Linked DNA regions of Alligator mississippiensis. The protein of the gene in region 1 purifies or fractionates together with the protein of each later gene. This does not show direct contact. Links are inferred from orthologs where the notes say so. Each region holds a gene or a part of one and is shown in the gene's direction. Other genes may lie near its edges.

Region 1 (7,299 bases):
GCTTCTCCTCACCAGCCTGCATAATTATACCCATACAGATATCATTTTTTACTATCTAATGTACAAGTTATATGAAAATTTAGAACCTTACTATGTGTGTTTGACATATAGAAATATAGATTACCATAAAAACTTTTAAAAATGCCTAGTTCTTCTACTGTGTAATTAGCTGGATGGAGCAAACTGAGCACCCCAGATCAATATGCTACTTCCTTGAAAGAAACAACCGCACATCTTTTTTTCACCAAAACTCCTGTAAGGAAAACGTGGATTAACACCAACCACCATTATCTGGGGAAATAATGGTATTAATTAAAATATATGTAAAAATAAAGCATTGTAACTATTTCTAACGTAAGCTAGATCATATCAAAAACACTTGAAGTAAAGAGCAGGACATTCATATTATTGAGAAAAGTCCTGAAAGTACCATGTCAGCTCATATGCCAGAATGTTGCCTGAATTAAGCTAATACCACCCAGAGCATAGCTGCAAGTTGGAAAAGCGTCTAGGCCAGCAGTTCCCAAACTGCGGATCACAACCCCAAATGGGGTTGCAACATCATCAGATGGGGTCATGAGGGTGGGGGGCTGTGGGTTGAGAGTGAAAGGCCATGTTGAGGAAATGGGGCCATGAGTGGGGTCATGCTGAGGAAGAGTCTGGGAAGCACTGATCTAGGCACTGGCATTCACATTAACCAATGCGATTCCAAACCAGAAGTTATATATCCATATCATATCCCTACCAGAGAACGCACACTTCATAAAAAACATGAAATGTTTAATACCAAAACACGCAAGTGTTTAATCTCAAACTTTACAGATATAAATCCTGATCTGCAAATATGTATGCACAAACTTAAAATGAAATGCAAAAATAGTCCCACCGACTGCAACAAAAAATGCAGTTAAATTTAAGTGCATATATAAATATTTATAGTTAAAGCCATAAAAATCCTGCATTACAACTTTATAGTTCTCTATCGCACTGTAGAAAGCATGACCCAACAATTACATAGTGGCATTTAAACAGATTGCATCTTAAAAAAGGTAGTAGACTTTCTAAACAACAAGCTCTATTGGCCTAATAAAGCAATTAAGCAGCATATAATTCAATGATATCATATTAACAAATTGCTTTACAATCATTATGAAGCTTTCAAATATCAAAGGCAATTCACTGGTTACAAGGCTGGAATTTTTGCTTCCTCTCATCTTCTACACCAAGTATGGGAGCATTGCTTTAAGTGAGTGCTGCTTTCCTTTTAGTTACAGATGTTAACATCTAATAACTCCTAACAAGAGCTACATTTTACAGATTCCTGAAATTAATTTAGCTTTATCCAGTGACTAAACAGACAATCTCCATATGTTCCACTTCTAGTTTAGGAGGGAGATTATCAATACTGCTCTCCCTTCTGCACTGTCAGGTTCAAACAATGGAAGACATTTCTTAAAAGTGTGAGAAAATGAAGCCATAAAAATTAGCAGGGGACTTAGGGACCTGACCTACTTTGCTTGCTTTCTGAAGCATATTATATTTCAGTTAGACAATGATGCTTACACCAGAAGCTAATCAACTTGGGGATGGGGTGGGGTTAGCAAATAAGTTCATGATATAAATATACAAGTATGTGCATCAGGGTCTTGGCACAGGCTGCTCTGGGCAGGTAAACCTTCACTGACATCAACCGGACTTCTCTGAGCAGACCCCTGCACCTGTGAGAACAGTCAGCAGTATCAGAGTCCGTGTTTTTGAAAAATGAAAATTAAGATGTTCATATTTAAATAACATAATGCATCTTTCCGCAACAAACACCAGTATGTGGTGCCTAATCCTCTTGCAAAATTGTTACCGTTTCACTGAAAAACACATTGATTCATTTTAAATGGACATTAGGCTTGTAAATTATTGACAGGACATGTGAAAGTATTCTATTGACTTCTCTAGCTGGGGCTGAATTCAAGGGTCAAGGTTTGGCCTGCTTGAGTTGATGCAACTAAAGCCTAAAAAAGGATGAACTGTTCAGCAAGTTAGGAAGGTATTACTAGATGCATTGATTTTAAATAATTTATTTGTAATTACTAATTATATCAGTGGGCTGTAGTAATTTTAAAAAGGCAAATAGGTTATTTTTATAAATCATTCCAGTTCACCATGCAATGTTTTCTTATCTAACAGTTCTGTGCTAACCAGCTGACTTCCTCCATAATTGCTTGTAAGCCTATTCCAATCCTTCTTTTCCTGAAATACTTCATCAGCTAATACAGCACCAAGTAGAGGGAGACAGGACTCCCACTACTACTCCTCAGAAAAGTTATGGTAGTAGTGCTTTATTAAGCCACACTAATGTTCCTGAAAGGAGATGTATACACCTTGGCTCCATTTTGAGGAAATTTGTTTTAACAAAGCACAGCAACATATGGCACCAGCATCTTTATTTTGAAAGTGGGTAGGGATGCTAACTCAAACCATCTGATGTTTCTTCCTAAGCCTCCTTATCTGCTGTCAGATTACATGCTTAGGGTAAAACATCAGCAAGCCAAAAAGAAGTGGGAAGAGGCATAAGCATCAATCAATCAACTTATTTAATGAGATGAAGAGTCTAGCTCAGAATAATTTCCCTTTTTAACAGAAGGCCAAACACACACATTTATTTTCAGACACTATCATCAACCATATCCTGGGGTTAATCCGTAACAGACATTTTTACTTTGTAGAAAGACAAAAATAAACCCACATTGTAATGTAATTAAAAAAGGAATTAAACAAGGCTCAGAACTGCTTAATAGTGGATTTCTACTGAAGTAAACAATCCAATGGTATATACATTAGCAACACAGTAAAAAAAGTCACAGAGGACTGTCATATTTGCCATGGGCACATCCAAAATTACCAGTTCGCTACACTGCTGATTACTAACTTTTCATCAAGAGCAAGAATGACTCTGAAGTATCCCTTATTACAGATTTTTCACAGATAGAAACTAATGAATAAAAAATAGGGCCTTTGTTAGAGAAGAGAGAGTGAAATTTACTCTTCTGAAATAACTGTCTATTATAGATGCTTCGAGGTGTACATTTAGCTATGATTTGCTATGGTAGGGTTGTGAAACACATAACCTGAACCCAACTCCTATAACAGGGGCTTGCTTGCAGCTGTTCTTTCTTCCTCCCACACACACAGTAATTCAACTCCTCCTCAGCCCTTAGAACTCTTTCATAAAATTACATCCGAGCGGCATACACGTATTTCAGTAACAGGCTGAATAAATACATCCGCAGTCAATCCCTCGTACACAAGCCGAAACACAAATATCAGTTTTGTTGCATATGCAATTTAGGTTTCAGTGCAGCCTTCAGCATATAATGACAGCTCAGGTTTGGGAAAAGAATAGCTGTAGCTCTTCCAGCCTGCAGCTGCAGCCAGCAAATACCCACTCCCCTCCCTCTGAGCAAGTGCAGGACCAGAACCACCATGAAGAAACCTCATTTCTGTGCTGGAAAGGAGGAATGGCAATAGGCTAGGAAAAAAAGGATGAACCCTTTTTTCTCCTCACACCTCTGCAACCATGATGCTGACTGCGCCTGGAGCAATGGTCAGGGATGCAAAATAAAGGGGGGGGACTTTTTTTTTTTTTTTTTATTCCCGGCACAATATTAAATGTCAGACTGGCAAACAACAGGGAGGCAGTCCTGTTTATTCAGGGCTTCTCCCCCTGACCGGAGCCCAGCGTGGGAAGGGTTCCGGCTCGGGGAGCACATGCGGAGGTGCCTAGAGGGGACTCGCCCTCCCCCCGCCGGCGGCAGCCGCCTGCCCCTGCCCGCACCGCGGTCTCCAGAGCAAACTTGGCTGCGCCCGAGCCCGCCCCATGCTCCTGCCCGCCCCACACTTGTTGCAGCGCCCGCGGTCCTCCGGCAGCTCCGGCCTCCCCGCGCGGGCCAGGGCGATGCCCTTGCTGGGGGCCGGGCGGGAGAAGACGCCCTAAGCCGAGCCGGGAAGTTACTCACCGCCACGGATGGCTCGTCCGCCCCGGGCCCGGGGGCAGCTGTCCCGCACTGCGCGGCCGCCCCGGCCCCGGCCCCGGCCCCAGGGCGTGGGGGGGAGGAGCCGCCGCCGCCGAGCCCCGGCCACCAGCGAACCCCGGGCAGGAGCCGACGGGCCGGGGGCGGCACCGGGGGGCGGGGACAGCCGGGCCCCGCCCCCATCGGCGCACGTGGCAGCGTCGCCCCGCCCGCGGAAGGGGGCGTGGCCCGGCGGCACCCCGCCCCTTCCCCGGCCGGCCTCGCGGTGCTGCAACCGTCCGCGGGGGGAAGGGCCGCCATGGACGAGGACCCGGAGCTGGAGCGGTGAGAGGCGGCGTTGGGGGCGGGCGGGCGCGGGCCTTGCTCCTGCTGGCGCGGGGCCCCGTCCTCTTCCCCTTCCCCTTCCCCGTGTGGCCCGCCGCGGACGCGGGGGCCTGCCGCAGCTCGGGGCCGGCGGCTCCGCGGCCTGTGCCGCCGGGCGAGTGAGGCCTTCTCCTGTCTGTTTGTGTCTTCCGCAGACCAGCGAGGCCTGCTGCGCGCGGGCGCGGCTGGGCGTGGAGGGCACGAGGGGAGGTGGAGGTTCCCTCAGGGGAGTGCGGAGCGGCCTGGCCGGCACAGGCTCGCGGGCCGCGTCTGCCCGAGGTTGCTCCTGTCGCCCTTGCAGCCTCCGGGCCGGGCCCCGCGCTCCCTGGTCCTGGTGCCCTTTGCTTTCCTCCCACAATTTGTCCAGGCCCTTTGTGAATGTGGCTGAACTGTCGGCTTCCCCCGCGTGTGAGGGCAGCAGGTTCCCACTTGCATGACTTGCTGTGTGAAAAGAAACTTGGTTTAATTGGTTTTGAACTCGCAACCTGCTAGCTTCATTCTGTGACTGTCTAGTTCCTGTCTCGGGAGAGTCGATGATCTGTCCCTGGTACTGTCTGTTCACCATTTACTGGTCTGTAAATCCTTCTCGTGCCCCCTGCTGCAACCAGCTCTTTTCTAAATTGAATAGGCCTAGGCTCTGTAGTCTCCCCCCTTGGGAGAGCCCCTCCATACGCTAACCATCCTTATTGCTCTTCTCTGGGCCATCTCTAGTTCTTCTGCCTCCGTTTTGAGGTGTGAAAACCAGAACTGGGCACTGCATTCAAGGTGTAGATGCACCACGGATTTATAAAGCGGCATAAGGACACTTTCTGTTTTGTTTACAATTCCCTTCTTAATAATCCCTCGCATTTTGTCTGCCTTCTTGATGGCACCAAGCTGATGTTTTTATCCAGCTGTCCACAATGAAAGGAAATGTTCTGCCCTGTCATCATGGTCTTTGCAGTAGAAAAATGGCTCTGTTATTTTTTGTAGTCAAAGAATGCGAACATAAGCGTTGGCATTTTCTGAGAGATTCTTTGCGTCTAAAAAGGTTGAGAGCTGCTGCTTCAGGTGTCCTGACCCTAAAAGTGAGTTCGCTGTAGGCAGCCCGCTTGTTATCTATCCTGCTGCATTCTGGAGAGCAGTGTATTGGAGAGGGCATTCAGGTTTTTAATGAGAAAAAGATATTGCTGAATTCTGAACTTGACTGTAGAAGTGACCTGTGTTACCTGGAGGGCTGTTTCACTCCACCTACCTGATCCTGATTCCCTGGCTTGGCTATGATTAGGCACCTATTGAATTCGGGATTTTCAAGAAAACCGCAAATTCAGTTGGTCCCCGTGAAAAAGCACAGGGACTGAGAAAAGGTACAAAATCAGCAGCAAGTTGGGCGGGGTGGGGGGGAGGGCGGTTGCAAAACCAGAAAAGGGCGGGAAGCCCTGGCATCCTGAAGCAGGGTGGGGGGGCAGGGGGAAATTTTTGCAGTGGAGTGTGGTGGGCTGCTGCCCCCTACATGCCTCTGATTGACTGAGGGGGCCCTGGAAGTCTTGGCAGTCCTGGAGACTAACAGATTGCCATCTATCAATTTTCAGGAGCAAGAGGACTTCCAGGGCCCCTTGGCCAATCAGAGGAATACGGGGTGGAGGGTGGCACTGCAGAAATGGCGCCTGGCCCTGTACTCAAACTGCAAAATCAGATAACAACTGCCACAAATTCAGTAGGTCCCTAGCTATTATCTACCCCCACTTTACTCTATCCATTCTCTGTCTTGTATCCTGTGAATAGTGAGGTAATTAGCCGTGTTAGTTTGAAGTCAGGCAGAAGACAAGGTAGATTTGCACTTCATAGACTAACTGTTCTAGTCTATAAGGTGCAAATCTACCCTGCCTTTTGTATTCAAATCACTCTCACTATTTTTACATAGACTGCTGTGTGCATGTCCTTTCACAGCACCTAATGAAGTATGCTCAAGCTTATGAAAGCTTATGCATCTCTGGTGTAATTAGCTCTACTCTGCCATCTACCTGACTTAACAGTAACATGTCTAAGTACAAGTACCTCTCTGTGATCTAGCAAAAATAACACAACCATCAAAGGTGAGAGAGGTATGCACAGGAGACTAGTCTTGGCAATATTATTCTTGAGGGGTCTATGAAGAAACATGTGTGCATTAAGAATACAGCGCAGAGAGAGATTTTTAGTCCGTTGAGGAAATGTACTCCTGTACAATGAATAAATAAAAATCAAACCTCCATACAGAATGAAGAAAAACGGGGAAAGGATGTCTTCTCTGTTCACTGTAAAATACTAGTGATGCATACTGATAGCTGTTCTAGCCAAGCTTTGGAAATCTAATTGATCATAATGCAGATTGAAAATAAGCTTCGGGTTTTTTAGTTCAAATAAAAAAAAAAAAGCCTAATACCCTGACTTTTTATTGATGGATGCGCTAATAGATAGTTAATGTCACCCTGTCATAGTGTTGTGGCAAAATTGACTGCAGTCATTTTATCAGAGAATAAAGTGACTGCTATTCTGCATTTGGTTGGGATGAGATATTCATTCTGCTTTACATATTGAATTATGGCACTTCCAAGAGAGTGCACTGAATATAAATGTATGTTTATTTGACTATCCAGTCATAATAGGTCTCTTACTTTTTGGTTTGGAAGCAGCCTGCATGCGCTTACCTCCTTGGTGAATCTTGTTGGCATTACACACTTTATTGTGAGATTGCCTGGGAAGAAAGACTACATAGTTTACAGCAAGTTATCAACACTACAGCTATGCAGAATATGATAGAATCATATCTGAGATGACAGTCTAATGATATTCCTGTTAACCGTCATAAAACAATTACAGCATGGTCCGGGGCAATGCAGGCTTCCTTCACTGCCCTGCAAGCACAACTTGCACTTGAAGGCCTTCGTGA
Region 2 (7,348 bases), on another chromosome or scaffold:
GAATTCTGACCGCTTACTCTCTCAGCTTCTTTCGGTCGTCTGTCAGTTTCTCTCCAGCAAAGGTTAGGTGATATGTTCTCCACACATATTTCCTGCAAAATCAGAATTCTGTGAGTTAAAGGACAAAAGGAACAGCAGTTAACCACATTAATTAAAAAGTAGGAGCAGAAAAGGGACAAGCAAGATATATGACTCAGTGAGTACAACTGAAGCTTTCTGATCAGCCAGGTCAGGTAACCACTGAATTCCTGGTTTGTGCAGTTTGTCTTTTCACGGTCGTGGTGCTCATCTCAAATTGCAGTGACCAAGCAGCTGGACGTTCAGCCTGTCTCAAATGAATCTTGCACAGGCTTTTCCTAAGCCCCTGAAAATACTTTACTTTACCAGCTAGTCATCAGCAGGCAATTCTTTCAGTTTGATCAAACACCAGCAAAACTATAAAACAGAAAAAATCTCAAAATTTGAGAGTCAAAAAGAAAATAGAATGGTGACTGCTATATGCAGCCCTTACTGCAGAAGAAGAGGGTAGTGCTGAAGTTTAGATTGTCCACAGCACACCTTGCCTTTCTTTGAGAGCTTACCAGCTAACATGCTGTATACCTCCTTCCCGCTCCTGTTTCAGCTGCACATACCGCTGGATGGCTTTCTTCAGGTCCTGGACACTGGCATTCTGTACCACTACTACAGCTGAAGGGGAGAAGACTTGCAATTAATAACACCAGGAGATATGCTCTGAAAGGAGGCAGAGCTCCAGGCCCTACCCTTACCTGCTAGAAGCTGCACTTTATAATAGGAGCTATTTTATGCCACAACCACTCCAGAACCCAGCCTGAAGATGGAACTTAGAGGGCACCAACCCAACTGAATAGCTGAGGAATGAACATGGCTAAGTCTTCCTGTCTGGGTCAGTCTTCACAAAGGAGGTTGCTTTATAGCAGGGGTGGGCAAAATATGGCCTGTGGACACTATCTGGCCCGCAGGGCCCCTAAAAAAAATGTAGAAAATTAAAATGCATTTGTCCTTGGTTCCCATCAAAAATGACAGGAACAAGGGGTAGTAGGACCCAGGGGAATCCTCAGCAGGATCCTGCAACAGCAGGGCCCCTCCGGCCCCGGCCCCCCAGCTGGAAGCCCCAACAGGGGAGGAAGCTCAGGTAAAGGTGGGGAGGGAGGGTGGCAGGGAAGGAGCTGGTGCAGAACGCAGGGAAAAGCGGCCCCTCCCCCACCCCATGGCCAGCCCTCACTACTGCAGCCACTCACAGCATGCATGGGGCTGTCCTGAGCAGGCACAGAGCCCCACACGGGGCTGGCAGTGGGGGCGGGTTACAAGCTGGTCCAGAGCATGGGAAAAGCGGCCCCTCGCCCACCCCCTGCACTGCAGCTGCTCGCCACCCGCCTGGGGCTGCCTGTGCCTGCTCAGGACAGCCCTGCGCGATGTGTGAATGGCTGCAGCAGGGAGTGTGGACCATGGGGCAGACAAGGGGTGGCTCTATCCTGCGCTCCGCACCAGCTCCTTCCTTGCTGGTGAGCAGGGGTTCAGGGCTGTGCGCTCCCCCAAGCCTGTACCATGGGGCTGGGGGGGGGGGGGGGGGGGCACTGGAAATGAGTGGGCGCAGGAACACAGGGCTCGCACCGGTGTCCCAGCAAGGCCCAGAGCAGGGGTATAGGGTTCCAGCTGGCAGAGGCTCTATGGAGCCGGGCCAGCTCCCCCCTCTTCCTGCTGGTGCAGCCCAGCTCCACAGACCCCTGCCAGCCTGCACCCTGTTCTGGGCCCCACCGGTGCTGGCCCTGGGACATCAATCCCAAGACATTGGGACACTGTTCCCAAGATGGTGGCCAGGGGGCAGGGCACCTGTCAAAGGACGGGGCTACCCATGCAGCCCTCGACAGCTTGCCAAAACTGGGTAAGCGGCCCTCCGCCTGAAATAATTGCCCACCTCTGCTTTACAGCCTTTAAGCTCCAACCTCGTACGTTTGATAGAGGCAGGTTTGAGGTGACGGACCAAATGAGAAATCATTACAGAACACTGTCAGTAAGCTGTATTTCTGCCTGCCACCAAGGTAGGGTATTAATCAGGTACTTCACCCAATTACACACCTACTCCTCTGGCTCCTAAGTACTTCAGGGTGCTGGGCTGAGGTTCGTGAAATTGTGCCCCAGCCATCTCAGTCCACTCAATGCACCAAACTGCAACTGCCCACCTTGGATCACATATGTAATTTCTTCTCCACTTGCTAGAAGATGTCACCATATTGTGACAACAAGGTAGGCATTAAGACCAATATCAAAAGACTAGCTTTGGGAACCAGAAATTAATCGCTATTCTCTATCAATAAGGACCTACCAAATTCATGGCATAAGTGGGGTACATGGCAGATCCTTCAATCTTTCATGCTTCCTCGTGTGCCCCTCCCCGCAGTTATTGATTGGCATAGGGAGCACACTGCTCCCTCCTAATTGGTAGGAAATGAAAACCATGGTTTTAATTATGGTGTGGTTTTTGCCTCCCCGCCAGCCAGCAACAAGCATCAGGGCCACTGGGGCCCCTCAGCCAGTCAGCGGCAGGAGGCAAAAATGGTGCCAACTAGGGGTGCACTGATAAAAATTTTTTGGGCCGATACTGATGGCCAATTAGCAACAAGCCACATTGGCTGACACTGATCCAATTGCCAATATACAGCCCAACAGCTCAGAGAGCAGCATCAGGCTGGTAAGTCTGTTGTGGGGAAGGGGCACGGGGGGGGGAGGCAAAACAAGGCCCCCATGGTGAGGGATGGAGTGTGATTGGGGCAAGGACAGGGGCAGACACTGCGTGCACTCCTGGAGGAGGCATAGCGGGGCACGTGCCTCCTGGACGTGTGCACAGTGTGGCACCAGACTCTTTCCAGTGGTGAGGGCCAGGCTGAGGTTACAGGGGGCTATGGCAAATTTTGGGATGGCTGTAGCTCCCCCCTCCCAGCACCACCCATCCTGAGAGCAGCCCAAGCCCAAGCCCCACCCATCAGGCAGAGCCTGACACTGCTCCTGGCCCAAGTGCACAGCAGCAGCTTGCCTTTGCTCTGTGCACAGATCTAGGAGGCATCCCTCCCTTGGGGGTGCATGCAACAGCGGAATGTGACTCCCCGTACACCATCCAGACAAGCCGCTTATGGCGGTCTTGTGCCCTGTCCTGGCTGTGCAGCACCTGCCCCAGCCCCACTCCCTTCTTCACTGTGGGGGCCTTGATCTACCCCCAACCCATTCCCCCCCCCCCCCCCCCCTCGACTTACCAGCTGGATGCTGCTCTCCATGCTGATAGGCTGCGCTCTTGGCCACCTGTGTGCTGTCCTGTGCTGCGCTGCAGCTGTGTGCATGCACGCAGCATGTATTGGCAACATTACTGCTCACAGCAGCCAAAAAAGCCGATTGCCAATAATGTCAGTTTTACGTTTATTGGTGCAGATATGATATGTACCAATATATCACTGCACCTCTATTTAAAACTGCAGTTTTTTCCTAACCACCAACCAGGAGCAAGCTGCAAGTGTGGCCCCTGCACTAATCGGGGGGGGGGGGAACCTGCAAGATTAAGGAGCAGCAGTGCACCCCACTTGTGCAGTGAATTTAGTAGGTCCCTATCTATGGATCTGACCCCAGGTCTGCTTGGCTTTACTACTAGGGTACTACTAGGGCTTTACTGCCTGTCCTGATGCCAAGGGCTTACCAACTAATATACATTTCAGTTAAAGCATCTCCTTCCACTCCATGTCTGTGCGGTCCTCCACTGTTTTCGACAGATGCTGCAGAGCACTCAGACATGCTGGAACTCGTAGGGAACAGGACTGAACATTATCACTGTGCAGGCTCTTCAAGAGCAAGCATATTTAAAGGACTACATGACATAAGACTGCTCCACAGCAGCAGGAGCAAGAAGACAAATGCTGCCCCTGCACAATGCCCACAGGTTAGCATCCCCGTCTCAACACCACGTGTCCCTATGTGCGCGGTGCTCACCCATCCCCACAAAGCCAGCACAGCCAACGTGAGGCCGGGCAGCCGCCAAACAACCCCAGCAAGGGCAGCGCCAAAAGCACTTACGCATCACTTCCTCGTCGGCTTTGCACACGCGCACCGTCATGGCCTGGCCGTACTCCAGCGCGATTTGGGAGTTGATTTCCTCCGGGGTGACCTGTCCGGGGCAGAACAGCGGCCGCGCCCATGAGTCCCGCCCCGGCCGCCCAGCAGCTCCCTCGCTCCGGGCACTCTCGTCGCTTCCCTGCAGCGGTGGGCCGCGCCCCGCACCCGGCCCCTCTGAGCCGCTAGGAAAGGCCGCGACGCCGGGCGCCCTCGCAGCGCGGGGGACGCGGCGCTCTGGACCCACCTGCACAGGGAGGTCGCACAGCAGCGGGTCCTGCACGAGCCTGACCAGCCCCTCCTGGAAGAGCTCCAGCACCTCTGCGTGCGCCAGCTCCTCCTCCTCCTCCTCGGCCTCAGCCTCCGCGCCGCTTCCGTCCGCCGCCGCCATGGCCCGGCCCGCGCGGCGGCTCGTGGCAGCCGAACCTGATCCGCCGGAAGTGGCGGGGCGGGGCGGGGTTCTGGCTGCTTGGCGCAGAGATGCTGCTTTTCTGCCCGGCCTGCGGCAACGTGCTGGTGGCTGAGGAGGGGCCGCGCTGCCACCGATTCGCTTGCACCACGTGTCCCTATGTGCGCAACGTTACGCGCAAGGTAGCGCCCTTCCCCCCCCCAGCGCTGGGTGCGCGCTCGCGTTGCCCGGAGCCGGCGGCGGGGCTCGCGGCGTTGGCCGACACCGTGTAGCAGCCGCCGGCGCTGCGGCCGCTCTTGGCTGCGCCAGGGTGCGGGGGGGGAGTCGATGAGACGCGTGCGGGGGGCCGAGCACGGGGCTGCAGGCGAGTGAGTTTTCCGGGCGCCTCCAGGTGACCAGCAGGAAATACCCGAAGCTAAAGGAGGTGGACGACGTCCTGGGAGGCGCCGCTGCTTGGGAAAACGTGGATTCCACAGCAGGTGAGAGCCGGTGCCGGCCTGGCCTCGTCGGTCCTGCTGCTCATCGCCCCCGCACGAAAGGTGCTGCTGGTGCTTCCTGTCCAGCGGCGCCTTCGGCTTCAGCCCGCTGCCCCACACTGTTCTCGAGCCCAGTGCCTTGCATGCAGGCACGCTGAGCTATCTGCTCTGCAAGAGAAGCCACTGCCTTGAGTAGGTGGGAGGATTAGTCTGCACTGGGCTGCACTTAAGGAAGATGGATCCTGAAGTGATACAAGCTGTGCTTCTTCCACACAGGGACAGTGGGAACTCATGGTGCTGCGAGGGATGGTTCTTGGGCCACAATACTTGAAACAATTGAAGGGTCATGTTTATCCATTCTTCTCTTGCCCACTAAGCTCCACATGCATGCTACAGTGCTGTCTTTCTGGGTCACTAAGCAGTTTGAAATGATGATTCTGAGAAATGTGAACAGCTCCCTCTCTCTCTTGTCATCTTATGGTGTTATTCTAAAGCTTGACTGTGATAATTCACTTGATTTCCTATGGCTCCAAGCAGTAGTGGAGGGTTTTTATGGCCAGCATGTTAGCCACAAACCATGGATTGGCGACCACAGTTTGACAAAATGTCCTAGCTTTGATCATTTTAGTATGATAGTAGTAAGATGAAGAGGCCACAGAAGTGAAGCATGGCCCAGTTGAGAGTGGGACCTAGAAGTTCTTTCAGAAAAGGGAATTGGATTGAATAGAGAAATCTTACCGTTGCTTTTGCGAGTTAGGGAAAATGAATAAAGGGGAAAGAAAGACGAGAAAACAGAGCAGTAATTGTGTTTGGTAGTTGACAAATTAAATGCACGCTCCCTTTTAGAAGTGCTGAATACGACAGTCGTGTACAAAACAAATGTGATGTTTAGATGCAACATAAGATGTTATCTATCAAATATAGATAATTTTGTGTAAAGCCTGCAGCTAGAATCTGCTGTGGATTCAGAAGCAGAGTTTGAAGCCCTACACACATCTTGGCCTGTGAATTGACATAGAAAATGGAATTCATCTCCCTCTCCACCCTGTGTGCCTTATCTTTAATCTGACATGTCTGCCTCTCTCACCTCCTTACAAAAGAGAGAAGACCACCTGACTCCAAAATTGCACTGTGGCAGTATTGCTGGTCCTGGTTGGTTTCATGAAACTGCTGTAATTTCTGTGCTAGTCCTTCTCTACTCCTAGCTCTGAGTGGGACTTGCTTTCTGCTAATCTCTAGTCTGCAGGAGACATGCTGGCCTTTTGGTAGCCAGGGTTATTCAGATCTCCTGCAACTCTTAAGAAACTAGATGGTCCTCACTGATTTTGTTTAATCAGTTGATGTAATGGAGTGTGCTCAAGGACAGGAAATGTCCTGTGTTAGAGATCCTACCCCTAAAGTTCCATTAAGTTTTCTTGGAGCTTAAAGTTGGGCAGATGGAATGTTTACAAAAAAAATCCATCTCTTGGGTTAATGGTTTGTGGAAGGTTGAATTTAAGTAGAACCTACCTACACCCCTCTGTGACATAAGGAAGAATTGCTCTGCCAAGCTCACTTCACTTCTAATGTTTCTTTTTCAGAACCGTGTCCCAAGTGTGAACATCCACGTGCCTACTTCATGCAGATTCAGACCAGATCAGCTGATGAGCCTATGACCACATTTTATAAGTGTTGTAATGCTCAGTGTGGCCACAGGTGGAGGGATTAACTTTCCTATCATATGTGTTAGTTCTTGTTTGTTCAAAACAAAACAAAAAATCCAAAAAAGCATCTCCATCTGGTTTGTTGAATGTGAAATGCTAATTCTAATATAATAAAGGGCTTTGTCTGTCTGTAACACTTTTGGGCAAGTGTGTGCGTGCGGTTTTAAACTGGGCACATTTCTCTCTCCCAGGAGGGAGAAAAAAATGGTGCCAACTTTAAAATCACAGCTTTTGTAGCTGCTTCTCTGCAGCCATGTGGGGCCCCTCCCCCAGTGGAGCTGGGGAGGTAGACTGGGGCTGGGCTGGCCAGGAATGCAGTGCAGTGCAGGCAGGGGGACCAGAAGCGCTGTGCTGTGCAGCAAGGCAGGGAGCAGCGCTGGGGGGGGCCACAGCCCCCCAACATTCACCTTATCACCTGGACCTGCCCCTCCCAGCACTGCCACCTGAATGAGAGGTGGGGTGCAGTGTTGCCAGCCTGGCCCCTTGCACATGCATGGCTGCAGGGACACAGCCCAGCATCAGCTCCCTCCCGGTCAGTGGGTGGTGGGGGGGGGGCAAAGATGGCTGCCTCAGTGTGATGGGGAGGTCCTGGGAGGGGAAGCTGTGTCTGTGTGTGTGGACATGTCTGCGTCTGCACTTAAGTGCGT
Region 3 (6,883 bases), on another chromosome or scaffold:
TAGTTACTACGCATTTAGTTAGTACTTCATTAAGCAAATACTAAACAAAATGTGCAGTATCTGCTGCACAATAATGAACATATAGATGCACCCACAGTCTGCCTTTCCCTCACTCAGCCCTTGATTCTTGTTATGGTCCACCAACTTTATCTCAGCCAGCATCTGCATCCTGTACTGATTCACAAATTTTACAATCTTCTTAGGCAGACAAGTTTTTTTGGGGTAAGTGTAATATCTTTTATTAGTCCACCTGGATAGTTGGAAAAATTGTTCCTTGCAAGCAAAGTTTCAGGCACAAGTGCCCTTCCTCAGGTGTAAGAAGAGTCTGCTGGTCTTTGAGGGCATTTGTACACATGCTGGCACTGAAGTGCCACACACTTTTAAAAGTGCCTGGTGCTGCGGCACATACATTTGTATAAACGGTGAAATGCACCTCAGCTCTGAGAAAATGGTGGCAGTATGCTTTTGAACTAAAACACATCAAAGGTGTTGTAGTTCAGAAATGCACCACAGCCATTTTCTGCATGCTGACACGTATTTCACCACTTATACAACCACGTGACGCAGTGCAATGCGTGTCAGCTCATGTCTGGAGCAGATCTGATTAACTGAGTCTGCTCTGACATGCCAGATGTCCTGCACACTGGAGCATGAAAATGTAAGTGGACAAATGCCCTATGAGGCCATACTATTAAGACTATAGCAGGAAAATGGTGGCCTTGGAGATTCAAGTGGCCCCCTTGCCCTCTCCCCCTCACCAACCCCAACCTCCACTCCTTCCCCCTGCAGCACCTTCCCTGCACTTACCATCAGACCCTGCTCAGGTTCTGCTCCAACTCTGAGTATGTATAAGTGAGGGGCAAATTTAAATCATAAAGGACCAAAAAACCCCAATGTTGAAATAAACATGCTTTTAAAAATTTGGATATAAGGAAATTACTCTGGGTATATATACACTTAGTTTATCCAGAAGTGATGTGTCCCCCTTTGGGTGCAAACTGCAGCAAGCATCAGCACAGGCAGTCCAGAAACACACTTATTATGATCAGCAGCACTTTTGAATTTCTCTATCTGCAGCTCAGGCAAGGAATGATAGTACTCCAAAGCCTAACAGCTCACAGCTGAGTCACCAGCATTTCAGGCCATGGTAACCCCAGAGCCTAGCACTGCTCAGTATGTGTTTGTACTCCAGATACCCGCAACAAAGGATCCATGTGCTAATTAGCTGCCAACACAATTGGAACCTTTTGTTCTTGTCATGAGTCCTTGGACCCTCCAAACAGTTATATGCAAATGAGGCAGGAAGCCCCTGATCCAGCTTCTCCCTGTAGGGCAAGGCCATACCATTTAAGGATACAGAAGGTAAAACAGTGGCGCGGTGGGGCAGGTGCTCCTTGCTCTCTGACCCCAAAAATTCTTGCCCATGCAGTACCTTTCCCAGCCTTCATATGAGAACCTGCTCAGGCTGTGGTTGCTTTTGGAGCATGTAAAAGTGAGAGGATATTTCAGACACAAATGACCAATAAACACTATCTTTGAAACAAATTTGCCTATAGTAATTTTTATATTGGCAAATTACTCTGGGTACCTACAGACTTAGTTCATCTGGATATAATGCATTTCACCTTTAGTGCAAGCTGCTGCAAGCTTTGGCACAGGTAGTCCAGACAGACACTCTTGGCAACACTTTCTTATTTCTTCATATACAAAATTTTTTTTTTTAATAAAATTTCATTTCTGGGGCCTTTACAACACCTTTACAACATCGAACTTCCATTACAATACTCATACTGAGAACCCGCATGCCTGTCTGCATCTCTTTACCCATTACAATCATGCTGGACCACCTCCGTTCCCTCTGTTACCACCCATTTCAAAAACTAATTTCTATTTTACAGTGCTTACCTCCCTGGAAGGGTTGGTCAGTGGGCATGAGGAATCATCCAGGCAGGGACAAGCTTGAGCCTGCACTTTGCTGCTTATCTCCTCACACCTCCAGGCAGCCTTCAAAGGATCTGGCAGCACCCTGGTTGAGAATCACTGCTCTAGTCAAAGAGGGGTGCCTCAAATCTAAAAAAACATTGACACCCACTGATATAGACAAATATATACTTTGGAGCAGCTTCAAAAGCGGGGAGGAACATCTGATCAGGACCACACAACAGTACTTATGCTGTACTGTTACCTGAGAATGAGGTTGTGGTGACATAAATCAGCTAAATCAACCTCAACTTTACCTTGCGTGAAGCAGGATTAAAACTAGAGTAGTATGTGCATCCTCAGGGGCTCAGACACATGTAGCACTTACATTGTAACAGTTACTGCACTCCTGAGAACTGGCTCCCCACTCTGCTTTTGAAGTTGCTCCAAAGGTGCTTTTCTCCATGTGTCAAGGCATCTACAGACTTCAGGCATTTTCAAAGGCAGGCAACAGATGACCCAAGCTGCTCAGTTCTGTCCACACTTGGACAGTTCTGGATAAGCAGAGAGATATAACTCTGGTCAACTACAGCAAAAAGGGCAACTCTATAGATTAGGTATCCCCAGAGTTAGATGGTAATTAAGTAACTCTACTTAGGAAAATGTAGGTGCTTCTACACAAACCTTCCTAGTCCCACTTCGTTCCCCTTAAGGATTAAAACACTGCACAGCTCAAAGAGTTCAGCCTCTATTCCAGTGTTCTTCAATCCTTTCATCTCAAAGCACCCCTCAATAAAGTTGAGGCACCCCTCAGAAAATGTCAGTTATTTTCGCTTATTATTTTCACGCCCGAATGAATCCAAGGAGCCCGTGAACATCACCCTGTGAATGTCTGCCAGAACGCAGAAATGGGTATGGGACAGGAAGATATCCCCCAGCCACAGTCTCCTTCCTAGTCGTACAGGTGGCCAGCTTAGGAGAGCACATTGGCCAGGATGTCCCCGGACTTGGCAGGGCCACGGGCAGGGAACACGTGAGCAAAAGGTGCAGGGGGTAGCGCAGCCACAGCCTCAGCAAGAGCTTCCCAAGGAGGTGCTGACACAACCGCTAAGATGGCTTTGTCCCTGGAGATCCCATCATCCCGTGAATGACGCACGCGCCCCTGACAGCGCTACCCCTGCGCGGGCCCCCACAGCCCCCTTCAGAGGGGCTCCAGGCTGCACGCGGCTGAGCCTGGCGGCTCTCACCTTTGAGCACAGGCTGAGCTCTGGAGCTAACTGGAAGGAGCCAAAACCACCGAGGGCCAGTCACAGCCTCCAGGTGGCTTGTCCTTTGCCCTGCTGGCTGGGCCTGGCGCAGCGACAGCAGGGTCCCGAGGGCATGTTGGGCCCTGCCCCATGCTCAGAGGATGGACAGTGTCGTGACACCTTGTCGAGCACTAACTCTGTAGCCCGTTCCCTCTCCTCACCTTTTCATAGGGAGATGAGGACTTTAATGTGACTTTCCATTAACTGCATAATATACACAGTGTGTGGCAGGGGCCTTCCCAGCCCTCATCCCTGCATCATCTGACATTAGGCACAGTCAGGCCTGTACCACCCAGGGGCCCCTCCAGCCCTGGCTGCTATGAGCTGGGGCCAGCCCAGGGCTCTGGCTACCCCGGGGGAAAGAGGTGCCTTGCAACGCCCCCGCCCGCCGCTAGGGGCCGCGCTCCGCCCGCTGCCCACGCGCAGCATTGTCTCTCCCCCAGGAATCCACCTCCAGCCAATCACCGCGCTGAGCCCCAAAGCCCCGCCCCCTCCCCTCCTACCGCAGGGAGCCCGGATGACAAACGCTTCCGCCGGCCCGCCCAAGGAAGCGGCGCCGCACTCGGCGTTTTCACGAGTGTGCGCGCGCACACCTGGAAGATGCGCTCTTCCTCCCGCACTTCCGGCCCCTTTCCTGGGGGCGGCGCCCTGGGAGGCCTGGCGCGTGACGTCATTGCCATGCGCCGGGATGAGCGGCACGCGGTAGGGCCATGGCAGCGGCCGCGCAGTCCCCGGTCCCAGCGCCCGGCCTGGCGGTGCCGTCCTTCGTGGCGGCCTGCGACCTGGTGCCGAGTCGCTACTCGTGCCTGGTGGTGGTGCCACATCGCAGGCACATCGCGCTGGCGCCGCGCTTCCTGCGCCGCAAACTCACGGGCATCCGCGACCAGCTGGACGCCGGGCTGCTGCGCTACTGCGACAGGTGCGGGGCGGGGCAGGGCAGGGATGGGCGGAGGGAGGGAGGCTTAAACCACTCGCTGTCTCACTGTCCTGCTGCTCCTGCAGCCTGGGAGGCGTTCCGCTGGCCTACAGCCACGTGAAGATCGTGGGGGCGCTGGGCGACATTTACGACGACCAGGGCTCCATCCACCTTCACATCGAAGCCGACTTCGTGGTCTTCATGCCCCAGAAAGGGACCAGGCTGGTGGTACGTAGGTGACAGCAGCGCGGGTGCTTCTTGCACCCACTGAATTTCAGCTTGGGCCAACTCTGGGGAAATGGATGAAGCTGGCAGGGGGTGGGGGTGCCTCCTCCTGCCCTCCTTCCCTGCCTGCTCTGCTGCTTTGCTCCCTGTTCCCTCCCCAGGCTGACATGTGGAGGCTGCTTGTACTGCCCTGGGCCTCCCCCTGTCCTAAGGTCTTGTGTTTATCTTGCACCTGGAGCTACCTCAGGAGACAGGTTTACCTTTTGGGTTTTAAGATGCTGTTAATTTAACGCATGAAGTGTAGATGCATCTTCCCCCGAAGGCCTGTTAGGAGCCAGATAGCAGTATCTGTTTGATTCTGTCATTGGAACAGGGTCATGCAGTACCTGTGTGCCCTTTTTTGGCACAAAAACCAGGTTTTGCTCTGGAGTATTTCAAATAACGAGCCATGAATCTCTGCCATGTGGAAGGGTGGTTTTCAGAGATGCCCCTGCCAGTACTTCTGCAGATGTATGTGTAAAAGTAGATCGAGATACTAACTTGCTGATAGGCACAGAACTGTGTTAAACAGTTCACTTTAATTTAGCAAATTGACCACTTCCACATCCAAAGTCTTAATGGCAAAATAAACATGTTGTTTTCAAAGCATGAAAGAAAATTCTACTTTAAGAGCATTGAAAGTAGAATTATGTGGCTATGAATGGAACATTTAAATAGAAACATGACTACAGCAGTAGTCACAGTTAATCTTTATGAAAGTACAGTTTTTAGAACCCTTTTTCGTAAGCAGGGCACATTACCTGCTTCCTTTCCTAATGTACCATGCATCTCAGACAGGTTTGAAAATGTTTTTTCTTGTCTGTGTTTTGTCGTCTATCATATTCTTTCTTAGCATGCCTGATCATGAGAGATTCTTGTGGGTTGTGGCATTTTAAGATCCTATTATATGTGTAGGTACTTACTAAGGTCAGGCTGACATTTTAGCATATTCTTCTTTGCTGTTAAGCATCCTAATTTTGCATTTTGTAATTTGAAAGACAAAGAAACAAACAAATCTTAGAAGTGACTTGAGTATTTACAGCTGTGAAGGCTGTGTGTCATACAAATTGATTGCATGCTTTGTATGTGTAAACTCTTACATGTGCAGAAGTCAACATCCAGAAAACTCCAAGCAGATTTAAAATGTAGGCACAAGTGAAAAGAAAAAAGGAGCTCTCAACCAGTGCATTGCTGAGATGCTGCAAAAGCATCTGTGAGGGATGCAAAGTCTCAGTTGACCCTTAACCCCCTTTAAAAACATTGCTGCAGCCTCAGGTAGAATTTAAACTGAGATTAGATGTGGCAGAGAGCTGTCTTAATGCAGTGCTAAATAGCTCCTCTGAGAGACTACCTACCAATTTCTTCAGGTTCAGTACTGGGTAAACACTGCTACACTACTTCTGTGTGGATAGCTAGCTTTAGGATCAGTAACTTGCTGGGAAGAGGAGCATATGGGAAGTAAACTGTGGAGCTGTGCATGGTGCTGGAAAGGAGACAGGCTGGCAGGGGAGAGACAGTGCCAGGCACCTGGGATTGGTTTACTAAATCAAATGTCAAGAACCATTGTATTAGCAAATGTGAAACCTGAATCAAATTTGATTGATCTCTTTCTTTTTTTAGGGTGTGATCAATAAAATTGTCCCTAGTCACATTGGCTGTCTGGTACATGGATGTTTCAATGCTTCCGTCCCTAAACACGATTGTGTGTCAGCTGAACAACAGCAAGACCTTGGGTTAAAAATAGGAGATACATTGGAATTTGAAGTTTCTCGCTTAGATTCTGATGCTGCTGGAATGTTCTTCATCTGGGGACGTCTGACTAAAGACAGGTTCAGTGATAAGATTATGATTATTTTTCTTACATTTATTTAAAGACTACATGATAACACTGAATGTCTTGTCTTAAATCTAAACGTCTTCCTGTCTCTTAAATATAAAATTATTTTAGACTGTATATAGCTATGGATCCTATTAACAACGGAACTTTAACATGATTTACCTTGGAGTTTGTTAAAAAAAAATCCAAAGTAGCTAAAATAGTTTTTAAAAAAAACAACATTTTTCATGCAAATAATCTATTGCGTCACACGTACATGTTACAGAATGTCATGGTCAATTAATTCTTGAGTGGTGTTTAGATAATTTTATAATCAAATTTGTGTTATGGGTTAATCTGAAAATCTAAAGTGATCAGGTATGCACCATTTTTTCATTTTTTTTTAAATACTATGTTCAGCAGAATTTCAAAGCAAAGTACCAAAAATATTTATTAACTAGCAAATTGCCCATCAAAAATGATTGGAGTGGCATGGGGGGACAGAGGCCTGCATCCAGCCCCCCACCCCACTGCCTTGGGCTGGGGCTGTGGCTGTTTCCCCTTGCTACTTGGGGCCTTTTCCCCGCCTCCTCTTTCGGCTAAGGCCAGGCCCAGGCCTGCTCCCGCTCCCCCACTGCCACTTCGGCCTGGGCCCCGCAG
Region 4 (7,805 bases), about 190 Mb from region 1:
AGCCCCAGGGCGGTACGCGCAGCATGGCCACCAGCCACTGCAATTTCTACCAACCTCCCTGCCCTGCCCCAGCACAGCATGCTGAAGAGGGCCTCCCTGCCCTTCCTGAGATGGACCCATTTTCAACCATGCCCTTCTCAATGCAAGAGGGTTATGGATGCAGCCCTGGGGATGAGCGTAAGAACTGCCCACCCCCCCAAGAGTGCAGCCTTTGGCCCAGCTCTTCTCCCTGCCACAGACTCCCCAACTGACTAGAAGCTGGCCCCGACTAATACCAGAACAGTCTCCAAAAACTTCCATCAGGGAGATCATGTGGGCCCCACAGGTTGCTGTCCCCACAGCTGTGACAGCTGCTGCATGTTTGGGACATATGTTGGAAATCCAGCCTCAACCAGTGTGAATTGTCCCCATGGGTAGGGGTAAGCAATGCCCACAGAATGCCCTAATGCAATGGGGAAGATTTCCCAAGGCACAAAGAGGAGGCAGACCTCTCCCAGCAAGACCCTCTCTGCCACCATTGGGTTTCTACCATTCTCATGTCTTACTGGGAAGGGAGCTGGGAGCTGTGGATCCCATTCTTTGTAGAGGGCACAGGAGCTGCTGGCGTACAGCCCCAAGGATTTTCTTCAGTGTCTGCAGGGAAAGGCATCATGACATGGTATGAGCAAGGGAGACAAGGATTTATTAAATTAAAACCAACAGAATGCCATAGCCACAACCTAGTACCCACTGACTGGCACCCCTGGCAATGCCTGTGGGTGTGCTGGCTCCACAAAGCTGCTAACTCCATTGCTAACCAACACTTGCATCCAACCATTCAATTCCTGGTCCCTATTCCAGCATGAGGCTTACCAAAACTCATGCAGTTGCTATCAGTTCCTGCCCAGTGCCCCTTCCCTGACCATGTTCCCAAGGCCTGTAAATCCCAGCTGTGGACTTCCCACACACCAAGAGACATTGCTGGTGAGTAACACAAGCCTAATTCGAGATCAGAGGTGATGGAGCTTCCTCCAAAGCTCATCCAGCTTGTGTAAGGACAGCCACTTCTCTTCATTTTCCAAAGTTCCCATCCCTGTAAATTAACCCAGTGCTTGAAAGCCATCAATGCATGTAGGACTGGAGACACTTTTTGCACAGACCACAGGCTGCACAATGCAATTGTAAGGGGCACTTGAGTAGCTGAAGAGGAGACTAACCAAAGGCAGGAGTTTTGCAATGCTGCATACAGCCATAGTTCTTGCATGGAATCTGGAAATTAAACAGAGACAACATTAAAAGAGTATTTCAGACCTACTCTCAGTTCCCCCAGTGAAGAGAAACATTCACAGGTAACTTAAGATGAACAACATAAAACATAATATCATAGAATCAGAGAAGACAGGCTGGAAGGGACCTCCAGAGGTCGCAGCAAGTTGAACCCCCGGCCTGAGGCAGGAACATCCTTGTCCAAACCATCCCATACAATCCATAATCTAAACTCTACATACGACTTCCCTCAACCCTGACACAACACAAACCTAACACCCTAACCTGCCAAGGGTAAAGCAAAGGAGCCACAGCACCTAATGTTCTATGAAACATTTTCAATATATGCTCCAGAGATCCCAGGTAGAGATCATGGTTGCCTGCTACAAAAGGCAGGCAAAACCCCCCATAGCCCATACCAATCTGACCGGGGGTAAAATGCCTTCCTGACCCTAAATATGGCATTTGTCTGGCCCTGAGCAAAGGGGCAAGACCCTCTAGCCAAGAACCTCCAGCTTTGGTCCCAGCAGGAGCATTGGCACAGGCCAGACAAAGTCCCCAGCCTTGGCTGTAGCCAACAACTGATGTCTCTGAGGAAGACTTAAAAACACCTTGACACATGTAGCAGAAAGCAGGGGTGGGAGCAACCCGCAAAGCCTAGAAACATGGGAAATCTCCATACTGGAATGCAGGCATAGTTATACCTAGATCATCCCTGACGAGTGACTATCCAACCTCTTCTTAGACACCTCTAGTGATGGAGAGTCCACAGCTTTCTTAGCCATCTATGCCACTGTCTCGCTATTCTAACAGTGAAGACGTTTTTCCAAATTTCCAATCTAAATTTATTTTACTGCAACTTCAAGCCAATGGTCCACTTCCTCCTCTCCATTTTCCCCTCTTCTTTATGACAGCCCTTCAAGTATTGGAAGACTGCTATCATGTCCTCTCTTAAGCACTTTTTCCACAAGCTGAACATGCCTACCTCCTTCAGCCTCTCCTCACATGACCTGCTTTCCAAATGCTTGATCATCTAACTTCTCCATGTCCTTTTGGAAATGTGGAGCCCAGAACTGCACACACTACTCCAGATGAGACCTAACCAGTACTAAGTAGAGAGACACTATCACCTCCTGTGTCTTGTACCTAATGCTTCTAATGATGCATTCAAAAAATCACATTCACATTTTGCATGACAGTTCCCAAGTCCTTTACCATAGTGTTATCATCCAACTAAGGGTCACCCATTTTATAATTGTGTTTTTGATTATTCTTGCTGAGGTGTGGCACCTTGCATTTGTCTGCAATGAACTCTTGCCCAGTTCTCTCCTGTTGCCTCTAGCCAGCTTTCCAGTCTGTCGAGATCCTTCTGAATTGCGCTCACATCCTCCAACATATTCCCAATGCTTCCCAGTTTTGTGTCATCCGCAAACTTGCTCAAGAAGCTTTCTATGCCAGAATTCAAATGGTCAATAAGCGCACTGAACAGCACTGGGCCAAAGCCAGACCCATGTAGGACCACTTGAAGCCTCCTGCTGTTCTGATATGGATCCATTAATAATTACCCTTTGTTTGCAGCTATTGAGCCAGTTACCTTATCTACCTTAAAGTAGATATAAGGTTTGTCAGGAAGGATCTACCTGTGACAAACCCATGCTGGTTTCCTTTCAGCATCGTTTCCCCTGCTGGGCCTTCACAAATGCGCTCTTTATTTTTTTCCAGTATTTTTCCAGGGATAGAGGTAAGACTGACTGGCCTAAAGTTACCTGGCTCATCCCTTCTTAAAAATGGGCACCATGTTGGCCTTTTTCCAGTCCTCAGGGACGTGGCCAGAGCACCATGAGAGCTCAAACAGCCATGCCAGCAGCTCACCTATGACACTGACCAATTCCTTCAGCACCTGTGGATGGAGGTCATCTGGGTTCGTACCCATCCAGCCCTTCCCAAGTGCTCCTTAGCTAAGTCAGCACTAACCTTTGGTGGTCTGGTGCCTTTTGGACATCTGTCTATGCTCAAGGTGGGGGAATTGTCTTGGTCAGTATTAAGGAATACTGAAGCAAAGAACTCACTGAAGAGCTCTCTGCCTCTTTCTCTGCGTCAACCACCAACTGACCTGATTTGTTCTGCAGGGGCCCAATGTTACTCTGCGCCTTCCTTTTGCTCACTGTGTGTCTGTAGAAGGACTTTTTATTGTCCTTAATTGTTGAAGCCAGCCTAAGCTCCAGTCCTGCCTTGGCCTGCCTGATTCCCTGTAATAGCGCACCAGGGTGGTCTATGGCTCCTTGGTGGCTGCCCCCTGCTTCCACTGCCTATAAATCTTTTTGCCCCCAGTCTTTCCTGGAGCTCCCTGTTCAGCCAAGGGGGCTTTTTTATCCCCTTAGCCCCTTCTCTGCACAAGGGGATAGACTCCTTTTGTGCCCCAAGGATCACTCCCTTGAGAAACTTCCAACCCTCTTGGACCCCATTAGCTAAATGCTCTTGAGTTCTGCCACCTCACTAACTAGGTTTCTAAGTTGGCCCTTCTAAAGTCTAAAACTTTAGCATCACTGGATATTTTTCTCACCCTTCCCTGGATAGTGAACTGTACCAAGTGATGGTCACTATCACCCAGGTCACTGTGTACTCGCAGGTTCCCCATGAGATCATCCCATTGCTAAGACCAGGTCTAGCAAGGCGCTACCCTGGTGGGACTGGACACTTACAGCGTGTTGGAGCAGACTCGATTCGAGTCTGTTGGGGTGTGCTAATTAACACACTTCAGCCAGCCCCTGCATCTCATGTATCAGTATCCCCACATTTCAAAATGGCAGCGTCGCACTTTAAACCTGTGTGCTGTGAACTTATGCTGTGATGAAGGTAGGCCCCTACATATAGGACATGCCTCGCAGCAGAGAGCAGGCCCAGCTCCTGGGCACTGTAAAGCCACCTGAATGCTGCTGGGTCTGTCCCCACCTGCACCGAGCTGCTGAGGTTCAGCTTTCTCCCACGGTGACTGAGCACCCTGCTTATCAGCGGCCATGAGGGCATGCGGCTGACACTAGATCCTTATTTCCAGCTCTGTATTCCCAGTTCCTTACTCCCGGGAGGCCCGAAATATTTCCCCGGGCCTGCCAGGAGGCAGGCTGGCACGGGTTGGGCTTGCTCAGAAGTGTCGTTGGTGGCCCCCCCCGCGCGCGGAGCAGACGTGTGGCTGGAGGGCCCCGAGGAGGATTTTGTTCTCTACGCCCAGGTTCATCTCAGCTCCTTATTCCGGGCTGGGCACCGGACGTCGTTCTTTCAGTGACTGCAGGGCCCACAGGAAGGCGAGCTGGGCCGTGCACTGTCCCTGGCACTGGGGGAAGCCCCATTCGCTTTGAAAAGGGCCCAGGAACAAGGAGCCGCCTTCAGCCCCGCGGACCAGTGACTTGTACCCGGGCTGCCCGACCCACGCGCTACCCAGGCCCGGCCCCGCCAGGCTCACGAGGAGGCGGCGCCTGGGCGCGGTGCAAGCCGGGAGTGCGCCCGGGCCCGGCGGCGGCATGGAGGTGGCGGGCGCGTGGCGGGCGCTGCCGGCGCAGCCTAGCCTGGCGGCGCTCACGGCGCTGGGCTACGGGCGGCCGCGGGAGCAGCAGCGCGCGGCGCTGCAGGGGCTGACGCGGGCCCACCTCGACTCCTTCGACCGCGCCGTGGCCGAGGGGCTGCACCGCGCCGTGCAGGTACCGGGGCGGGGCGGGGCGGGGCGGGGTGCGGCGCGGCGCGGCGCGGCGCGGGGCCCCTCGGCGGGCTCGACCGGGCTGTGCAGCGCGCGTGTTGTGTCCCCGGCGCAGGCCATCCCGCCGCTGGAGTTCGCCTTCAAGGAGGAGCGCATCGCGCTGGCCATCGTGAGTGCCGTCATCAGCCCCCCCATGGTGCCCAAGGCCAGCATCTGCAAGGAGCTGAAGGTGTACCCGGCCGAGTGCAGGGGGCGCCGAAGCACCTACCGCGGCAAGCTGACTGTAAGTGCCGCCTGCGCCACATGGCGCGCACCAGGCTGGGGAGGGGGCACATCGGGCAGGGATCAGCAGGCAGGGCAGGGAGCAGAAAGCAGAGCAGCAGGTCAGGGGGGAGGGGAAATCAGAGCATTCAGGGAGGTCCAAGGCTATTTTGTGGAACACCTGTCCAAAAGGTTGCCCCCCCATTATTTTAGATAGTACTTTTAAGGGTTAAAAACCATGCTGCTCCACAGTCTGGTACAGTGGTCACCAACCAGTGGATCTTGATCCACCAGTAGATCTCAGAACCTCTTGTGGTAGATCTTGCAGTCAGTTGGAGGCTTGGGTGTGAGGGGCACTAGTTGGCCAGGGGGGCAAGGGACTGTGGGTAGGGCACCGGAAGGGCAAGGGTGGAATGGGTCTGGACAAGCCATCCATCTTGGCAAATGGGTTCCAGTACAAAAAAGGTTGAGAACTGCTGCCCTAAATCATTAGCTCAGAAACATGCCTTAGGCCAGGCATTTTTAGGATCTTTTCTGGATCACCCTGGGGTGAAGGTGAGGTATAGAGGAGGTGCATCCATTAGAAGATATTTCTCTTACAGAATGACAAAGTTAGGGACTTCTGCCTTGTGGTACTGGAAAGTTGACATTCCTGGTTTTCCAATAGTCTTGACCCTTCTATACCTGGTGGGATCAGTGATCATTTGTGCAAGTACCATTTGTGCATATTTTATAAACAGGTGTGCAGAGCATTTCATGAAAAAGTGAGGAGAGTCCATCTTTCTAACAGCATATGAAATGATATTTTCTTTGTAAACAACTTTTTATTTAAGGGGATTGAACATTAAACACATGTTATTCTATTTTTGACTAGTGGTGTTTGTGTCAGCAGAATGCAGGGAAGCTCTTTTTCTTTTCTTTTTTTCCCCTTGCCTAACTGCATTAAATTTATACCATCATCCCATGCACCCTGCATTCTATTTGACCATTTCTTAATCTGTTTGTCTTTTTTGTAGCGTAAAGTAGTCGTAGTTTATAGAGTTTCCCAGATGTGCAAGTATCTCTTTGCCTAACTGGAGTTTCACGTTGTCTCCACTTTTATTGGCCTGTTATTTGTTCCTCTTGATAGTGATATTAGTAATTTCTTGACCACAGCAGCAGTACACCAGTCTCTTTGCTGGTATTAAGAACAAATACTTTTTTTGATTATTGTTTGTGCAGTTATTGTGAAGTGCTGTACAACAGGGTATAGCTTACAGTTATGATAGACAACACTCAGGCTATATAAAGTTTGTCAGTGTGCACCCTGCCAGGGTAGAAACGTGTTGGCAGATCAATACCCATATTTTAACTTTAATTCTTACAGTTGTTAATTTTAGTGTGGGGAGATTATAAATAATAATAATGACTCCATTCACACTGACATTTCAAACCTTCTACTGTACATAACAGAAGAGTTTACATTTTCTCCCCTTATAAGAATAATTTGGCCTTGAATAACTCAAATACGAGGAAGTTTTTAAAAAAACTTGTTAATGCTATCTGATTTGCAGACAAAACATGAGAAGTATTGACTCAAAACAATATGAGCAAATGAAAATGTGATTATATGGAAATCTCAGTATAGCCTTACCTACCAAAAAAATGTTTTTTGTTTGTTCGATTTATATGCCGCCCTTCCCAGCAAAGACTTGGGGCAGTTTACAGTAAGAAGACAGAATAATTTAAAAATAAGAAAGCGACAAGGTGGCCAAAACAGCTCAAAAGAGAACTAGAAAATCAAGATAAGAGACCTTTCAGCACAACATTGCATCCTAGTTTTGCTTGGTGAATGCTTGCCCAAATAGGATGTTCTTACATTGTTTCCAAAAAATGTGCAGGCGTTCCATTCCCCTTCAGTAATATATGTTGTGTACGCATCAGGCTCTGTAGTTTATATAAGGTGTTATAGCTAGCATAGTGTTTCTTTGTGAGAAATGTAACTTTGCTCATTGTTTCTGTACTGAAGAGTGTGTACTGTTGCTTTGTTCTGACATGTTTGTATTTTTACTTTATTAGTAATTTGCTGCATTTCTTCTTAGGCTGACATCAGCTGGTCAGTGAATGGAATTCCAAAAGGGATTATTAAGCAGCCTTTGGGATATGTTCCAATTATGGTGAAGTCTAAACTTTGCAATTTGTATAATCTTCCTCCCAGAGCCTTGATTGAACATCATGAGGAAGAAGAGGTAAGTGGATTTTGATGGGTCTGGAAAAAATGTCTATATGCAGTATTTAAAGGGAATTAGTTTTGAGTTGGCTTAAAGGATTTCAGCTCATCTTTGTAGAAGTGATCTGGCACACTTTTTGAGAATATGCTATTTCTAAAAATTCTATCTTTTCCCTAACAGAATCAAATCCTGGCCTCTAAACTGCTTCAGGTCACTTGACCTTCAGGGCACGTACAGTCCTCATCTCAGTAAGGCAAAATCACAGGTTGAGGCAAGCAAAACCCACTGTCGATATGAAATTTTAGTAGCTTGGTGTGCAGCAGCCTTGACAAGACATTGTTCCTCCCTTTCTGGAAACACAGGACAGCTTGTGTCCTTTTGTGTCTGCACTGTTAGTG

What was found.
Region 2: the proteins of protein POLR1D (region 1) and POLR3K purify together in Homo sapiens (affinity purification with mass spectrometry; 3 studies listed by BioGRID and IntAct, with this or other methods). This does not show direct contact. The link is inferred for Alligator mississippiensis from reciprocal best matches to the Homo sapiens genes POLR1D and POLR3K.
Region 3: the proteins of protein POLR1D (region 1) and POLR1F purify together in Homo sapiens (affinity purification with mass spectrometry; 3 studies listed by BioGRID and IntAct, counting the BioPlex papers as one, with this or other methods). This does not show direct contact. The link is inferred for Alligator mississippiensis from reciprocal best matches to the Homo sapiens genes POLR1D and POLR1F.
Region 4: the proteins of protein POLR1D (region 1) and POLR1B purify together in Homo sapiens (affinity purification with mass spectrometry; 5 studies listed by BioGRID and IntAct, with this or other methods). This does not show direct contact. The link is inferred for Alligator mississippiensis from reciprocal best matches to the Homo sapiens genes POLR1D and POLR1B.

What each region holds. Positions count from the first base shown.
Region 1 is NC_081824.1:428,177,615-428,184,913, reverse strand, and holds the start of protein POLR1D, read left to right. Parts: upstream 1-4,241; 5' UTR 4,242-4,323; coding exon 4,324-4,349; intron 4,350-7,299.
Region 2 is NC_081836.1:21,216,983-21,224,330, reverse strand, and holds POLR3K (DNA-directed RNA polymerase III subunit RPC10), read left to right. Parts: upstream 1-4,536; 5' UTR 4,537-4,593; coding exon 4,594-4,704; intron 4,705-4,913; coding exon 4,914-5,001; intron 5,002-6,578; coding exon 6,579-6,706; 3' UTR 6,707-6,835; downstream 6,836-7,348. Other genes in the region: SNRNP25 (U11/U12 small nuclear ribonucleoprotein 25 kDa protein), read right to left, coding at 18-92, 582-687, 4,078-4,168, 4,361-4,504. UniProt on the Homo sapiens protein: Core component of RNA polymerase III (Pol III) which synthesizes small non-coding RNAs using the four ribonucleoside triphosphates as substrates. Can mediate Pol I proofreading of the nascent RNA transcript.
Region 3 is NC_081828.1:161,473,082-161,479,964, forward strand, and holds the start of POLR1F (DNA-directed RNA polymerase I subunit RPA43), read left to right. Parts: upstream 1-3,868; 5' UTR 3,869-3,937; coding exon 3,938-4,146; intron 4,147-4,229; coding exon 4,230-4,371; intron 4,372-6,027; coding exon 6,028-6,236; intron 6,237-6,883. UniProt on the Homo sapiens protein: Component of RNA polymerase I (Pol I), a DNA-dependent RNA polymerase which synthesizes ribosomal RNA precursors using the four ribonucleoside triphosphates as substrates.
Region 4 is NC_081824.1:243,008,070-243,015,874, reverse strand, and holds the start of POLR1B (DNA-directed RNA polymerase I subunit RPA2), read left to right. Parts: upstream 1-4,753; 5' UTR 4,754-4,763; coding exon 4,764-4,940; intron 4,941-5,051; coding exon 5,052-5,219; intron 5,220-7,278; coding exon 7,279-7,425; intron 7,426-7,805. UniProt on the Homo sapiens protein: Catalytic core component of RNA polymerase I (Pol I), a DNA-dependent RNA polymerase which synthesizes ribosomal RNA precursors using the four ribonucleoside triphosphates as substrates.